3 linked regions of the Saccharomyces cerevisiae S288C genome follow. The gene in region 3 interacts genetically with the main gene of each other region. Each region holds a gene or a part of one and is shown on either strand. Other genes may lie near its edges.

Region 1 (3,587 bases), on a different chromosome or scaffold from region 3:
TATTTTAGTACCCTCACCTAATTCGGCGTTGCGGGGTGGAATTCTAAGCAATTGGGGCGGACTGACTGGCCATAAGTGCATTTTCCACGTGTTCAGTTTCTTACAGCTTCCGGTCAATAACACTCTTACCTTACCTTTTTTTTTGTAGAGGCATTTAGGTGTATTTTTTTCAGACTGTTTGATGAACATCAAAGGCGTCGGTATTGCCGAATTAACATCAAAGAACAAAAGCCTGCCATAAAACGACAGAAAAGACAAGATTTTGGCCAAGATGGCAACGCCATTCAGAAGTTATAATAATATGTTAAAAATAAATCGTTTGATACTGTACAAAGTTGATGTTCATCGTTGTCACTAAAAACGCTCTTAAAATCGAATTGTCCATTGAAAAAGTACATACTTATATACATATTTGTATAAATAATACACATATTATAAAAAAAGCGAAAAGGGATGGCGGACCTCCCATGGAATTAAATTGTCAAATTTGGTTGAGGCACTTAAAGGGCAACTGCAAAGATTCCGAACAACGCCATGGGGAAATATAAGCTTTTGGCATGGGCACCATTCTGTGATTGACTAGTTCTGGATGTTGAAGAAGAGTTTGATGCGGATATAAGTGCTGTTGTACTGTTTTCTTCATTAGCCATGGAAATCATGGACTGGCCTGCGTTCGCTGTCGAGAAAGGAACAGAATTGGAAACGGAGTTTTTTTGGCTGGCATAAGATGAGTTAGTCATGGTAGCTTCTGTCTCACCTGTTATGAAGTGTTGGGGAAGGTATATGGTGGTGGCGGAGGCTTTGTTTAGCAAAGAGGTATACCATGGAAAGGCCGTAATGAATGTTTGGAATTGAGTGAACGGAAAACTCTGAGCAATATCAGATTGTAAATCTGCTGTTGAGGCCAAATCAACCATGTGATAGTAGTAGTCAGCAACAGGTTGAGGTAGGGTTAAATGGTTTTGCATCATGTATGAGGTATACTGTGGAAAAGCGGTGTCGAAATCGTTTAAAAACTCCATGAAGAATGCCATGTCTGCATCTGCAGCTGCGGACCTGGCAAGTGTATCGTCATTGGAACTAGACGTTAAAGTTTTGGCAGCAAAACTGTGGCTGATTAGAAAGCTTACCAGGAGAATATTTTTAATGAGGGAGAAAGAAGGAGCAAATATCATTGATACGCAATATTTTCAGGAATGTTGTAAATGGTTCGTAACTGGATATCGAAATCACTTGATTAGAAACAATACGCCGGAATATGATCAGGTAAAGCAGAATAACAAAGAATAAACTTTCTCGATTGAGAGTGTCTTTTTAAATCATCCAAGCTCTTGAATTTTCTAGCATAGCCTTGGATGACAGCAATAAAAAATTTGCCAGGATTTTTCCCTATTTGGGCGTTCAATGAAGATAACGTTTGAAATATTAAAAACTAAAAAAAGAAAAAGGTTTGAAGCAATTAATAATTTATTAAGTTTTTTTTTATTTATCATACTTAAGAATATGGAGACCACGGGTTTTCTTACACCTGCGAAGACCTTGAACCTAATATATTTGTTTAAGAAAACAAATAAGCGATTGTTTCTAACATTAAAACGAAGTAAAGACATGGCTTGACTGAACCTACACCTCCTGTGCTTGTACTTGAACTTATAGTATTAGTTGTTTGAGAGCTTTTTGTTTCATTTCTCGACGAAGAAGGCAATGGCGTGAACTGGGTGACTACCGTAGAATTTGAGGATTGGTAATTTATAGATGTTATGACGCTGGAAGTGACTTTTGGTATAGACGACGATGATGAAGAACCGGTGAAATTAGCAGCAGCTAATGAACCAGTAATAATGCTGGAAGAGGTGGTGCTTGGAAGATGAAGTAGTTGATCGTTAGAATTTCCAGTGTCAAGAAAGGTGTATTGCACTTTCTGTCCAAGGGCAGTATTCAAATCCTGAGCATTTGAATCTGTGAGAAGTTGCGCTTGAACAATGAACAGTTGTAGTAGCACAATTGGGGCGAAAGCTAAAGAGCCAAATTGACTGATCTTCATATTTTTTTTGATTTGTTGACGAGCTATAGGATGATGAAACGGAGGGATATCAAAGTACGTTCTTCAAGCTTACAATTTCTCAAGGTGCTTTACTGGTCAAGATATTCAATATATAGCTAAATATTTATACAAAATGTTTGTTGACGGTTTGTTTATAGTGTTTTCAAAACACCACGAAAAGACTTCATTCTTGCATTCTTTTTTCTACAAGATGAGTCTATACATCTGAAACTGCGACGCCATTTTTTCCGCTGTTCGGGGCATTCTTGGCCAAATCCTCGAAAGAAATAAAACGTCAAAAGTAAAAAAGGTGGGCTAGACGAAACGTTATTATACGTCATAATTGTAGCCGTGTATGAGTGGGTGGAACTTGTATAAATAAACAAGTTCTTACTTATCATATTCTCGCATGCAATGAAATTCTCCAGATTATGACGCTTAGGTCTGGCCAGACGGCTAATGAGGTCCAGAGGAAATAGAAGGATTGTAAGCGGCCTCCACTAAATTTTGACCCCTCATACATGCTTGTTCAAACACAAAAGATTGAGGTTGAAAACTTGGCAAGAATTGGGCTAGGAGAAAGTGGCCAGGTGCTTCTTGTTCAGAACCAAGCAGATATGCTAGCACAATGTGCACCGTTCTATTTTTTTCTATAGTGTGTTTACATTTCTTGGCACATTGCGTTCGGTTTCAAATTTGTATAATTATTATTGGAGCGAGACAGGCGTTTCTGTACCGCTGTTATTTTTAACATCCACTGCGTTTTATGTATCTCTAAAATTGTGCGTTGCCTTTCTTTTGTTTATATTTTTGTTCAAAAAATGAGTTAATAATGATTTTTCATCTTCGGCTTACCGGTCTTGAAAATATTTGTTAAGACAACAGTGGATAAAATAAAACTAAACAACTCAAGCAAAAGTATTCCACTTCTTAAACAAAGCCCAACTGAAAGGTTGCGAAATACTATGTCATTTTGATTTAATCATCTAATGCTCGAGAAAATTTCAGAGCCGTAATACTTAAGTAATCGGAAGAAAAGTATCTCATTCTTCATTTTTCTCCAAATATATACCTCTTGTGTGAAAAATTAATTGTTTCCTCCACCTCCTTTGTGTGGTGGGCAATTGTGTGCTTCCGAGTAAATAACAAAACATAAGGATAATATATAATTCTGTTTTTTTGTCTAAAAAAGGTAAACTATATATAACAAACACAGTATAGAAACACAATATATCGGTCATTGGGTGAGTTTAAGCATTAGCAGCAATGGCTTGCTTAATAGCCGCTGGGTTGGCACCAACAACCTTTGCAACTTCCTTACCGTTCTTGAATAGAAGCAAAGTTGGCATAGCGGAAACTTCATTCTTTTGTGCAACATCACCCAATTCATCGACATCCAATTTATAGAAATCAGCTTGTGGGTATTGTTCAGAGAATTTTTCAATCATTGGAGCAATCATTTTACATGGACCGCACCAAGTGGCGTAGAAATCTACGACAACTAGCTTGTCTTGAGCAATTGCAGAGTCGAATTCGCTGGCAG
Region 2 (4,797 bases), on a different chromosome or scaffold from region 3:
CGTTGGCATGCGATGAGGTCAGTTTCCTGCGCCATTTCAGTGCAGTTTCGAGAATTTTAAGATTCAAAAAAAAAAAAAAAAAAAAAAAAAAAAAAAAAAAAAAAAAAGAAAAGAGATGGAAACAGTGAAAGATAAGGCAAAAAGGAAGTATATCAAGGTTTTTACATCAAAATATGTCTTCTATAAGCGATGAAAATTTGCAACCAAAGCAAAATAAACCTTGTGCTCTTTTCCTGTTAACAGCATATATAGGGTATATAGAGGCTTTCTTAAAGAAAATTTCTTGCTATCATGCTCTGGAGATGCTGTATATTATAGTGTGCACAGTTAAAGTCATCGATTATGATAATAACATAAGACAAGAGAAGTAATACTAACGTCTCCCCTCATCATTCGGAGTTATCAAAAAAAGAAAATATATCAAATATTAAAAATAAAATTATTAAATGAAGCGTTACATAAAGATTAAACATAAAATCATAGTCTGCTTGAGTATATCATTATACTATATGGTCAGTGTTCTTAGTAGAAGAAGCGTCGGAAGGCGTAGAATTCTTTTCTGCGTCTGTGTTACCCACAATCTTATCATCAATGTTTTCATGAGGAGGTGGCATTTGTGCCGATGTTTTAGATCTGATTGGTTCTGGGATGTAAGCAGTGGATTCCTCGTATGTAAATTCACCAATTTGAGCAGCGTCGGTACCTAATTCTTCCTCATCAGCACTTAATCTTAGTTTTAAAAATGGAATGGCATTCATAGTTAGAAGCAAGATAGATGTGACAGTAACAGTCCAGGCTAGTGCAGCGCATATACCTGCTAATTGATAACCAACTTGTTTATAGTGATGATTGATCCAGCCACCATCAATTGGACTAATGTAAGAGCCTGCAGTGGCATTTACATAGTCTGCAGCAAAGATACCAGTTAATACAGAACCAATACAACCACCCACACCATGGATAGAGTAACAATCTAGACCATCATCGATGCGCAATAGACTCTTTAAGTCAACAGCAAGGTTACATCCTGCACCAGTAACCACACCAATGACAACGGCTGACCAGATTGGCACGAACCCGGCGGCTGGGGTGATACCCACTAGGCCAGCGATGATACCTGAACACAAACCAACTGTAGTCCACTTTCTTCCGCATCTGAAATAATCGATAACCATCCATGTCAAGCCACCGCAAGCAGCAGCTAAGTTTGTGGACATAATAGAGTACCATGCTCGTATAGTTGCATTACCTGCAGAGCCTCCGTTAAAGAACATCCAACCAAACCATAAGAACACTGTGCCTAAAACCACCGAGGTGACGGAATGTGGTTTGTACTTGGGCATCCCTTTACGTGTAACAGGGTCATTACGCTTACCCAGTATCAAAGCGTAAACTAGACCACCATGTCCAGATGTTAAATGGACACATAAACCACCTGCATAGTCCAAGCTACCCAATTTGACCAACCAACCCTCGGCATTCCAGACCCAGCATGCAATAGGACAATAAACAATAGTCATCCATAAAAACAAGAACACCATCATAGGAAACAACCTTGCCCTCTCGCAGGCACCACCTAGCATTAGGGCACCGGTGACTGCGGCAAACATACCTTGGTAAACGGCAAACAGTATATCGGGAAGAGAACTGACACTAGATGGGGCTCCTAAAACGTTACGAAACCCAAAGAATTCCAAGGTACCAATAAAACCGTTACCTCTAGTGTTGTGTGAGAAAGCTAATGAGTATCCCCAGAAAAACCATTGGAAAATACACACGGCGGAAGCCATCATCGAGGCCCAAAGCAAGGATAAAGCATGCTTTTTCCTGGATAAACCAGAATATAATAAACCGATACCTGGGACCATAATCCACACACCTGCTGAAGCCACACCGATCCATCCCATGTTGGCCAAGTCAAATTGTGTATTCAAATCTGTTGTCAACGAGTTACCACCCGTTCCTTCGCCTGTAGGCGTACCTGTAAAATTGTAAGACATTGTTGATATTGTATTGTAATATATTAAGTATGATATATTACAAAACTAAACTTCTTTCAAAGCTCTGTGCAGACTTATTATTTAAGAAGGATATTTAATTTGAAAGGACGTGAAAGCACGAATGATTACTACCCACTGATGTTTGGTTAGCACATGTGTAACTACTGCTTATATATGGTGCAGAAAAGTGGCTCGGAATGAACACCTCTTGTACTGAATACTTCATTGATAAGGCACAGGGTCTTCACGCCGCTTAGTATTCGTCGATGCGTGAGCAATTGAAGCTTTTTACGAGGGAAATAGTCGATTTTACATTTCTTATCTTATCTGGCTTTGACTATTACCAGACACTCTTGATAAGCAGTAACAGCAGTAAGAAGAGACCGAAGGATTCTTCTTTGTTATCGGAAAAAAAAAAAAAAAAAAAAAAAAAAAAAAAAGATGTCTTATCTTATCTTTCTTATCTTAAAGACCTACCATTTGTTCCTTTTCTATTTTGGCAGCCCGGGTATTCGCAAAGGGAAAAAAACCCAAGACAGCATTCCTTGTTCATTATGACTATTACAAAGCCAGGAATGATTTCGATGGCCGACATGAATTACGTCGTTTCCAAGAACAGAAGCTTAAACCGTCCTGCTGAGCGGGGCGGTAATCGGTGACCAGGCAGCCTATAAAATGAAGTTGACAACCGAGTAGGCTATCACGTATGCATGGAACGTATATTTTAGCGTGACCAATGCTGAATGATGATAGTCTATAGCTGAAAATATTATCCAATAATATCAGAAAAAGAAAACTCACCAGCACCAGTGCATCCAATCTGTATTCTGTTAGTATTCCTGATACAGTTATTTCCCTCGTTATGGCTCATTCAGACGCCAAAAAGAGCATAGAGTTAGACAACATTGGAGGGAGTAGCTCAGTTACTGTTGACAGTGGCTTTCACTAATAAAAGCCATTGCAATATGATAATGACTAGCAGAAATTTAAATATTAACAGGATTCTTCTTGGATGAGAAACGTACATAATTTCGCAAAAAAGAAAAAAATATTTACTGCTATAAATCCTGTCATCAACAATAGTTTTCTTCCTTGCCAACGTCCTTTAGCACAAATCTCGTAGGTTCTATGCTTAACAGAGCGTCAACAGAAGCGGGTATCGGCTCGACGTGAATAATGGAGATTGTTACATCCATGTGCCGCTCTACCCATTTCATTTCTACGCCTCAATAAAATGTATGAAAAATGAAAAGATGTAAAACAAAACAACAGTTCCGTAACCGCGGAAAGTTGCGTCTCGTAAAAGGAATGAAAAACTCATATACATTCACCAGATATGTTCTATGAAACTCGAAAGCTTCCATCAATTCACACTAAGCTACACGGCTCCTAATAAGCACTGTAATTCCATCAAATGACAGCGTGACTTCTTGAGTAGTGTAGAACCACTCGTCCCACTAAATCACAGCCCTTAATCCGTGCACAGTGAGTTAAAATATGACTTTATTCATGTAAAACGAAATTTCATCATATACTCGATCTTTGTTCTGCTGTTCTTGAGATGTAAATTACGTGAATTCCTCCGGTTAACACCTTCAGAGTCGCATGGTCAGTCAAAAATTCCACGTCTTATCACCGTGGTCTATTCCAACCTTGTAATATAACCAACACATCGATTTTCGGTACATGGGTGTTTGAGATTTATCCTCATTTGACACATGTACCTGAAACTAATCTTTTCTATCCGGGGCTCCGTGGGAAACGTAACCCGAATTCAAATTCCGCCGAGGCCCCTTTTTTATTTTAGCTCACTCACTGGGTACGGAAGCAGATAGAGCTCTGGATACCCGGAAATCAGCAACACCCAGAGACCTTGGCACGGGAATAAGATGCAGTACCGAATGATCCGGGTCCCACAACTAAGTCAAAAGAAAAAAAGAGAGAATTATTTTGCTGCGGTTTTTCGTTACCTATGCTAACTGTTTCCTCCATACCCCTCCACGCCGTTTTCTCTAATACTGTCCCCATTATCTTTTTGCGAACTTTCTTTCGGCTGCTTCCGGCCAGTTTCTCCCCCATGCAACCCCCTGCGCAAAGGAACAGATCTGCTCTTGATCAAGTAAGAAAATGTGGGGGGCAGGCATCTTGAAAAATTCTCTAAAATTTGCATGTATTCTGTTTTCCGCCAAGGGATAGAGCAAGTGGAAGACGTAGTTGAAGGACTTTTCGTAATATATACAGGCATGCTATTTATTTATTTTGTTGGTGCTTTCTTGGTAAATTGCAAAAACTGTTAGTGAAGTTTCTTTGTAACTTTGGCACTAGTTGTTACACAGGCAGTAACACTAAGCACTATTTTTTTACGTTGTTTTCGCAGACAGCAGAAGAGATAAACGGACCTATTCAGAAAATGTCCTCCAGCATCTTTGAAATGACAATAGACCACGACGGTATGGATAGTACGGGGCTGAAGCTTTCACAGACAGCCTCATCCATATCCATGGGCGACGAGTTTCTTTGTTCCAGTACTACTAGTAATTCTATTCTGGATTCTCCGCTTCCGAAAGTGACTTTTAACCATATCGATAGCATAACAGACATTAACACAAACATCATGAACGAAATAGTGGAGCCACAATCCGGAGTAGATGTTGATGTTGCTGACAAAAACGTGCTTTACTGCATAGATCCGTACCCAGTGGAACCTCCGTGTTATGATTTTGCGAATCCGTCTAAAGTCATTAGGTACCCTATATATGAGCATTGTCGTCCGTGCCTCACTTCTGTGAAACCTCCC
Region 3 (9,183 bases):
TTGTTCTCGATCATTTTTAAGTAATTAAGTGCCTGAAACAATTTATCATTCTTTGAAAATGAACATACATTTGCTCTTTCACAACCAGTATTAGTTGATGTTTCTTCAGGAAATGCATACAATATTTGCTTATGGTCATTCAAAGACACCAGGACAGTGGAGAGTAGTGAATGTAATCCTCTTAATAGACTAACTATATTTTGGAATGTACCTATTGGATTATATTTTTTTTTGAGTTGCACCCTTGCCATGTAATCTGGAAAGATTTTGTTTAGTGCGTTTCTCATGTTTACATTTGAAAGATTTTCGTTTCCTGTCATATCTAAAGACAGCAAACAACAGAGCATAAATTTCTTTAGCAGTTTGAGACGATAAAGCTTACCATCAAGGTCTTTTACTGTGGTAGTATTATTATAGTAAAGATTTGGTACATCGATACCGTATAATTCACAGTATTTCGATAGCTCACTTGTATCGCTAAAGATGACAATATCTGGAATGATTGATTTGAGTTTATAAAACAGTGCATCACTTGAGAATACTAGGAGCTCTTTTATCACAGATGAGTGCTCGTCAGCAATTGAAATAAGAGACACTCTTGATATAAAACTATGATTTTTTATTTCTTTAAATCGAAGATGATATTTATGAATCATTACATCCACTTGTTGTAATGATTCGAGCACTTTCCGTACCTTTAATAAGGTTTTATAGCAAATCAAATGTCTTCGAAAGTATTCTTGCTGAATTGATAAATACACTGCTACGAGTATTAAAATTACAACTCTCTTCAGACCTGGACTATTTTTTTTTCTACAGTATTTTTTCAACTGTGTAAGTACTCGATAAGAGGTTATAATCATCGAAAGGTAGTTGAAATTTTGTCTGAAATATAATTTTTTGTCCTCTGCTACCGCCAATTTACCATATTTTGTCGCCATAAATGGTACAGATTTGGGAGGTACATTCTTTAACAAAGTTGAGCTTTTATGAAAGTTCATAATAGATTGATCAAGATGTAGTGATAACCTGTAATGATTCATATCATTCAAAAAATGAGAAGTAATGATTGAATACCGAAATTCTTCAAAGAATTGGTGTGTTACACCGAATGGCTGTTGCATGAAAATTCTTGAAATAATATCATCCCAATTAAAAAACTTCGTTGTTTTTCCTACGGTTATAGGTGAAAAAGTACAGTCATTAGATCCCACAATTGTAGGGGAGTATTCATGTAATACGCTGCGGCTGCTTAATAGGGACGGTTTTCGCCACGTAGAGTAAAATTCTTGACGATTGTTCTCGGTGACACCTATTATGTTATCACTATCAAGGGTTAGACTAGAACTCATGAATCCATCCTCTTCGCTTGATTTCAGCATGGAAAAAATCTGTAAACCGGGAGCCTGCAAGGCGGATGGACGTGAGTTTGTTGTCATTATTAAGTTAATCAACAAACGTTTCACAAGTAAGTAAAAACAAACTTGTTGCAATAAGCGTGAGGTATGCCGAGCAGTTATTGAGGGGGTGAGATTTTGACCTTTGATAAAACTCCTATAACCGTCTAGTATCCGGTAGTCACCTAATCATTTATGATATTGGGTGAAGATGAATGTTTAGTTTATTTTCAGATCAAGTGTTTTTATTTACGTTTTGATGTTTTCATGCGGGATGTCTTCAAAAAAATGATTTCGCCCAGGATCGAACTGGGGACGTTCTGCGTGTTAAGCAGATGCCATAACCGACTAGACCACGAAACCATAGTAAGTTGGAGAATTCTGTATAAAGAGTATGCTACATTTCTCTAAATATGTTAGGAATTAAATATAAAAATTCCGAAAACTTTGAGGCACCGTCTTTTTAGCTGGCCAGATAGCTTGCTTACCTATTTTCTTGCTAGTTTAAATTCGACCGGAATAGAAATTTGGTTACAAGAACGCTATTGCGCACCAGATGCAAATTTTTTTTTTATTTTATATAGTGTCACTGGCACCCCTCCATTACATTGTCTAATTTAAAATAACTAAACTGATATACTCACTTACTCTAACGATTGACTCCTGCTTGGTCAAAAATATGTATAGATGTTAGACCATCTTTATATGCCATTATTTTGAAAACCTAAGTGAGAAGTAAGTTTCACACTTCATTTGAGAAACGATACACCTGCACTGAACGATGATCCCAAAAATCGTTCCGACAAATACAGACAAACAATTTTCTTAAAGATTCAAATTAGAAACATACTACTCATATGAAAGAAAAGATGCAACGGTTAGTATTGGAAGAATGACGATGAAACACTTTTTGTTGTTTAATAGGTTTTAGCTATCCATTAGATCAGGAGAAAAGTCACCAATGTTAAATATGTCGAATGTTTCTGTATCCATAGAAAAAGAGCCATTTAGTTGTTGCTGCGAGTTACTGTTTTGAACTTTTACGGTACCCTTACCGCCACTGTCCTTTGGAGTGACATTGATGAAGTTTGTAGCAGCTGAATCACCATTTTGTTCCAGTTTCTTAGATTTCATAACTTTCTGAGCTGCAGCAACTTTTCTTGATTCCTTGGTCTTTGTTTTACCCACTCTCTGTTTCCGCTTGGGTTGAATTGTTGTAGTTATATTAGGAGTTGTGCTGGAGCTAGAAGTACATTTTGATGATGGTTGTGATACTGTGGGTGTATTATTACTATTATTATTATTATTATTATTATTATTATTATTATTACTATTATTACTATTATTATTATTATTATTATTGTTGTTGTTGTTATTGTTATTGTTATTGTTAGGCAAAGGAAAGACGGAGGTAGAATCATTTTGTGGTACTGAAGTATTGGTTTTATAATGTTGTGGTAGATGAAATTGTTGTTGCGGAGCGAACGCATGCATTGCGGAAGAAACATTTTGATATAAGGGCTGCATATTGATCATAGGGTTTTGTCCGGATGGATTAGTCTGCCTCATACCTGGATTTTCAATGACAGGAGACCCCATATTTCCTGGTTGTAATGGCATAGTGTTGTTAGCTGGCGCTATACGATTAGTGTCTGGAGGAAAGGCACTATTTTGTAATTGCTGGTTAGCCGCCATTCTTTGCATCATCATATGCATGTACTGCTGTTGAGATGTTATATCACTAACAACCGGATTTGCGACAGTGCTTTGATTTTTCATTTGTTGAGGAATTGTTTTCATCTTATTGAAGCGGGCTCGTATGTGTTCTTGCAATAAACTATTGCCATTTGCGTTATTGTCATTTGTGGGCGTAGTTTCTTCCGCAGTATTGTTACGTGTATTAGATTGATAATTTTGATTTCCAAGATTTTGCTGTAGTGAATTTTGCTGTAGTGCTTGCTGCTGAAAAAACATTTTCATAGCGTTCATGTCATCAAACCTGCCAGATTGGCTTTGCTGAAAAGATGGCGCCTGTCCTTGATTTTGGTGGTGTAATTGATATTGAAAGAAGCGCTGCTGGTCTGAAAACATTGAAGATTGGGTTTGTGCATTAAATTGTTGATTTGTAGGAGGCACTGAAGGCATAAGTCCGGTTGAATGAGAATTTTCCGATGGAATATGAGGGACCATTTGTGGGTTGACAATAGGATACGGTGTCTGTTGCTGCTGTTGATGTTGTTGCTGTTGCTGTTGCTGTTGCTGCTGTTGCTGTTGCTGTTGCTGTTGCTGTTGTTGTTGTTGTTGTTGCTGTTGCTGTTGCTGTTGCGGTTGATGCTGGGGTTGATGCTGAGGCTGCTGGATCTGCTGTTGAGATGATTGCTGGGGCTGTGCTGGTGATTGCAAATCATTGAAGTGTTTATGTAGATTTATAGTTGCGTACTGCTGCCCAGCAATATCACTGTTTATAGCAGTATCAGGTGCAAAATTAGCGCTATTCTGTTTGTCGTAGACACCGGAAGTTCTCGATAGAAATCTTTCGGAGACGTTTCGATTGGTTGGATCGTTTAAATTAAAGTTACTTCCGTCACCATTGGGCCTAAAACTCTCCTCTGAAACTGGAAAACTATTTTGAGTTGGTGGAATCACATTTGGTGGGAGATTAGAGAAATGGGAAGGCATATTAGATTTAGAATTAGCTGGCAAAATTGGTATTATTCTCTCTCTTAAAGGATTATGATCCTGTTGGTACCCAGATTCTAGGTCTCCATTGAACAATGATTGAAAAATTTCCCACCATTCCAGTAAAAACGTGTCATTAGCGTCCATCAGCATTTTCGAAGGTAATAGCCCATCTTCACTAACAATGTCACCCTTAGATGCAATATCCATTAATCCCTGCTTCAGGCTGGCGTTCAAGCTAGTTTTCCCACCCGAAGCAGATCCGTTTATTCTAGATAAAGGAAGGTCAGCTTCGCTTAAAAATTTTGCGGCAGAGTTCCAGTAATTGTTTTTGATTAAATAGTTATAAATATGGGCGTACAATAATTGCTTAGAGTTCTTAGCCATTACATCCGAAACGAAAACTCGAGAATCCGCATCAAACTGCAACTGAGTATGGCTATTCAAACCTTTGATATTGGGAGCTGAGCTAAAATCCGTGTTACTAGAGCGCTCATTTGTATTAATATTGGTCGTGTTATCCATATCTTTATCATGCACCTTTTTCTTATTTCACTGCAGTTTAACGAAAAATTGACAAAAGAACCGGGAGATACCAAAGGGAAAAACCAAAAGAGTCACACAGGATTGCAATAGAAATCTTTCTGGTCTTTTCTACTATGGTGATTTTATTATACCCCTCCTCTTCCTGTTATACACGCATTGTATTTCGGCATTGCCTCTTGGCCGCTTTTTTCACCTGACGTAATACCTGTTGCAGCAAGCGAGTTTCGTGTGCGTATAGAAAAGTATTTACCTTGACATTTCGAAGAAGTATGTAATTACCAAATAGCTCAGAAGAACACTTGGTACGTAACAATCATCGTTTACCTTTTTCTTCTATCAAAAAATTTTCTTCTTTTTTTTTTCCTTCTCTTTTCTTAAATAAAATTGAAAAATTGTTACTTAGTACTTCATAATTTTACTTAATATGCAGTATGGATCGTTATAAATAATATTCGGCTACAAGAATCTTTAATCTTCGAATTCATCTTCGTCGAATTCATCGTCATCGAATTCATCGCTTACTCTTGAATCCAAATCTTTATCGTCCATTGAGTTGTGGGGTAGCTGATTGCGCCCTGTTTCATTAACACTTTGCTCCCTTCGTGATTCGGTATCTGAATTCCCAAGTGAATGTACGTCATTTGAAACGTTGATCTTTGAAACAATTCTTGTTGGAGCGCCGGCCTTTGACACAGAGAGCTTTTTGAACTCTTTATCGATACTAGTCGCGGCTGCAGAAGATGCTCTCCTTGATTTAGTTCTATTGTAATTGGAGTCTTCATCATCCATATCGTCTAAATATCTTAGTTTTGGCGATGCAAGTGGAGAACCTAGCTCCAAATATATTTGTTTTCCAATGTCCCCTTTGGACATTGTAGATTTATTGGGCGTGGATCCTGAGCTACTATGGGAACTCACCAGGTCAGACGCATTTTCTACATCAGACGAAGCGGCTAAAACTTCGTTGTTATTTGTGCTGCCGCTCACATTTCTTTGCGGGGCTTTAGTGACCTTGGCGGTTTTGACTGAATTTGCCCTATTTCTACTAATGTTGCTTTGTTGTGATACGTCAGTATCTTCATCGATGTTATCAGAATCATCATTGCTAATATCCGATAAGTTGTCGATGTCGACTAACGGGTCTCTCCAAAAATTTACGTCTGTGAATTTCTCTTCCTGATTGCCTCTAAATAGCGTTTTGCGACCTGAAGTAATTTCTGAGTCAAAGTTATCCAACGTTCTATTAGGGGGGGAGCCAGGAACCATGGAAGTATTAGTTCTTAGATCGACACTATCAAGGCTGACTGGTGGAAAGAAATGATCGACAAGCTCATTGATATGAATATAGGAGCTTCTGTAACCTGCTAACTCCAATAATTCCATATGAACCTCACCCTCTGTATTTATTGTGAAAATTCTTGAACTAGGTATCCCCACAGTTCTGTAAGATAAAGCATCAGTAATCCTATTACCAAAGCCGGCAAAAAATGGTGTTGATTTTTCCTCTGTATCCACTTCGTTATCACTGTCTTCAAAATACAAGGATCTTATGTCGTTTAGACACGCGATTTTAAAGACTTCAGGTTTTTTTAGTATTACTTCCCGCCTTAACGCAGCCATCGTTCTATCGGGTGATAAAATCACAGGCCCATTTGGTAGTTTGCTGCCATTCTGTTCAATTGATCGCAAATAACTCCTCGTGGAATCAGCTTGTCCAGCACTTCTTGCAGTTAGATAGAGTATATTATAGCCATTCCTGGAGATCTCGCTAAATAACTTGGCTACACCCAAGTGCGTCCAGTCTTTTCCTATCATTGCCAGAACATGGCCTAAAGCGTCCGATTTTGTGATGGTGCCATCAATATCACTGATAACAATTGGAACATCCCACCTCCAAACGAATAATTTTGACGTAACAATAGCTTTTCCGTGATCTACGGAAAATTTCAGATCATTTTCACCATAAGTTAAATTTAGGCACTTTAACTGGTCATTAGTCAATCTTATCGTTCGTATGTATCTTTTCTCGGTCTCACCGCTCCCTGCTGTTCCTTTCTTGCTAGTTTTTTCACTTTTACTGCTTTGTTCTTTGCTAAATGATGTTTCGTCCTCAGTATCGGAACCAGAAGGTGAAGAAGATAACGAATTCAAAGTACTTCCTGATTCCATTGCATCTAAGCCTAAAACTGATCCGCTTGTGGCCATTGTTGGAGGCGTACCTGGAGGAGATAAATCAGTAAGGTGCTCGTAAGGATTTACGATCTTGATGTTGCCATTTTTGTCCTCCTTGATAAAACTGGAAATATCTGAATCATTACCGAATTCGTCCTTTAACAACTGCTTCAGTTGTATGTCTGTGTCATGCATCATATTCTTGTTTGGCTTGTAACCTTCAGTGTCTAGTAGTAAGTCGCCATTGTTATCAAGTTTACTGGGTATATGGATTTCAGTGAGTTTTTTGTTTAGTTTTTGCTGAAAGTTCTTTGTACGCTGCTCAACAAGCTTCCTCTCTTCAACTGAATCTGGTGGTGTCGTTGTAGAGGATTCAGTAGGAGAAAGCGACCCTGTAGTTTCACTATTTTTACTGCCTGAATCTCCAGTGTCATTGATATCTAAAAAATCTGGTTCCTCTAGCACTTTCTTTTCCTTCTTCTTATTTTCATTTTCACCTTCACCTTCACCCTCGGTTCCTCCTTCTAAGATGGATGTTTCAGGTGATTGAGGGGGGCTTGATGTGGCGCTCATCACGGGCGACACAAGCAATTCGTCAGGGACATCAGTGACCTGGTCACCCATCTCGAAAACGAAATAGGCTTCTCCAGAATCACTCAGTTTCATTGGCATATTACTCAGTTTCTCATTTATAAACACTTGGACTTTCTTTTGAGATGGCTTTAGAATTTGAAATTTGCCGAACCTCACATGAAAGGGAGAACATGATAGCCTTCCGTCTGGATGCTCCACTACAATGACATCTATAGCACCTGATAGCGTAGCCGGATTGATAGAAGACCATGTTTTAGACACAGACCCAAGAGCTCTGCCTACGTACTGCATAATCGACCGATGTGTCTATCTTCAGTAATTTCTTCCCTGTATGTTTCTTAGAAGGTAAAACTGTGATTACGAAGGTGTAGTGTCCAATTGGTCTGATTAACACTTCTTGAACACGTTTTACTAAATTGTTGAATGTATTTTCTTTATAAACACAAGCCCCCACGATGGCCTACTCTTCACTTGTCCTTGCTCTTCCTTCTACCCTCACCGTGCGCTGCTTTCAACGCTGGCCGGAAAAGCCGAGAAAAAGAGATAGATAATAGAGAAAAGAGAGCCCATTGTCTAAAGGGAGGGAAACCGAAGGACGAAAAGGGCCCGCGACAGACCGTTTAGAGAATGAGCAGCACGTGGGCACTTCGATTTTGTCTCCCAGTGATGTAGTGTTATGATATACAAGATGAGTTTGGACCCTGTTCAAGCAAATCTGTCACATTTGTTAGACTTTTTTTTAAACGAGCCCTCCAAACAAGAACGCTCAGTGTTAGGAACTGCGAACGAAGAGAGAAATGCGTATTAAACTTAGATGAGTATTCTTGCCGTAAATGACTATATACAAAACTTATTCGGAAGAACCTATATCTATGTATGTGAAATGATAAGTACAAGACCCACTGTGATGTGCAGTGATGGCGAATAGGGTGAGGTCCCTTGTACTGTCTTTATTGTAGCCGCTTGTAGGAAAAGTTTTATCACATAAAATTATCCTCTAGAGAGTTAGATGAGCCAGAAATCAGGCTCTTAGTCCGTTGGAAATGCGTTACTTAATCCGCGTAGGGTCATTTGATACAGAAGCAACATTATACTGCTCTGAACACTTGTCCAGACGAATCTAGGGCCAACGCCACTAAAGAAACCTAACACACCTTCAGATTGGTAGACCGTCCGAAGGCTGAGCGAAATCGAGTTGGAAAGTGCTGCCGGTCTGCCGTTTGTTACATGTGGATGTGTTACTGAGTATGATTTGTTGCTTTGGCTGGGCGGCTGTTGAGTTTGGACTCTAGTCTTAACAACATCCATTGGTGTGGTAATGATTCCCGCCAGTCCACCTGCACAGGCACCAGTCAATATTTCATTAGGTATAGACAACTCACCATCCCTACCATCTTTCTGTTCAATCTTGAAAGCCAATTGCCTAAACTTTTCGTAGAAGGCAAACTGCAATGCACTAAATGGCAAATCTCTGGCTAAAGTGGCTTTGTATCCAAAAAATAGTGAGCGAAACCCTTCTTCTTTTATAACTGTCTTTATGGCATTTCTTAAATTCGAATAATTATAGCCAGATTGAAAGAAAGGATTATTGAACCTTCCTTGCAATTGTAGCCTTGTCTTTAGGACCTCTGATGGAACATAAACAAAACTGGAGATAAAATCGCCAAGAAATCCAGCGCTCAAATGTGTGATGGTATCGTTAATCTGCCAATCTTCTATCATTGTTCTCTTAGTATATTCATAGGTCCCAAAGAAGATTGCCGCTGACGGGAAGGAGCCTAACATGGCAGCCATG

The links. A genetic interaction does not mean that the proteins touch.
Region 1: mutations in MSS11 (region 3) and AFB1 together harm fitness more than expected from each alone (negative genetic interaction), as found in Saccharomyces cerevisiae (2 studies listed by BioGRID).
Region 2: of MSS11 (region 3) and MEP2, extra expression of one rescues a mutant of the other (dosage rescue), as found in Saccharomyces cerevisiae (2 studies listed by BioGRID).

Annotation. Positions count from the first base shown.
Region 1 is NC_001144.5:228,408-231,994, forward strand, and holds AFB1 (Afb1p), read right to left. Parts: upstream 1,176-3,587; coding exon 501-1,175; downstream 1-500. Other genes in the region: RIC1 (Ric1p), read right to left, coding at 1-189; NFG1 (Nfg1p), read right to left, coding at 1,559-2,044; thioredoxin TRX1, read right to left, coding at 3,295-3,587. UniProt on the Saccharomyces cerevisiae protein: MATalpha-specific protein that interferes with a-factor, the pheromone secreted by MATa cells. Contributes to mating efficiency.
Region 2 is NC_001146.8:354,656-359,452, reverse strand, and holds MEP2 (ammonium permease MEP2), read right to left. Parts: upstream 2,001-4,797; coding exon 501-2,000; downstream 1-500. Other genes in the region: YNL143C (uncharacterized protein), read left to right, coding at 2,267-2,659; MPF1 (Mpf1p), read left to right, coding at 4,411-4,797. UniProt on the Saccharomyces cerevisiae protein: Transporter for ammonium (both charged and uncharged NH3 and NH4) to use as a nitrogen source. The affinity of MEP2 is about twenty times higher than that of MEP1. MEP3 has the lowest affinity.
Region 3 is NC_001145.3:584,950-594,132, forward strand, and holds MSS11 (Mss11p), read right to left. Parts: upstream 4,602-9,183; coding exon 2,325-4,601; downstream 1-2,324. Other genes in the region: INP2 (Inp2p), read right to left, coding at 1-1,439; phosphatidate phosphatase PAH1, read right to left, coding at 5,091-7,679; MME1 (Mme1p), read right to left, coding at 8,418-9,183. UniProt on the Saccharomyces cerevisiae protein: Transcription factor that regulates pseudohyphal differentiation, invasive growth, floculation, adhesion and starch metabolism in response to nutrient availability.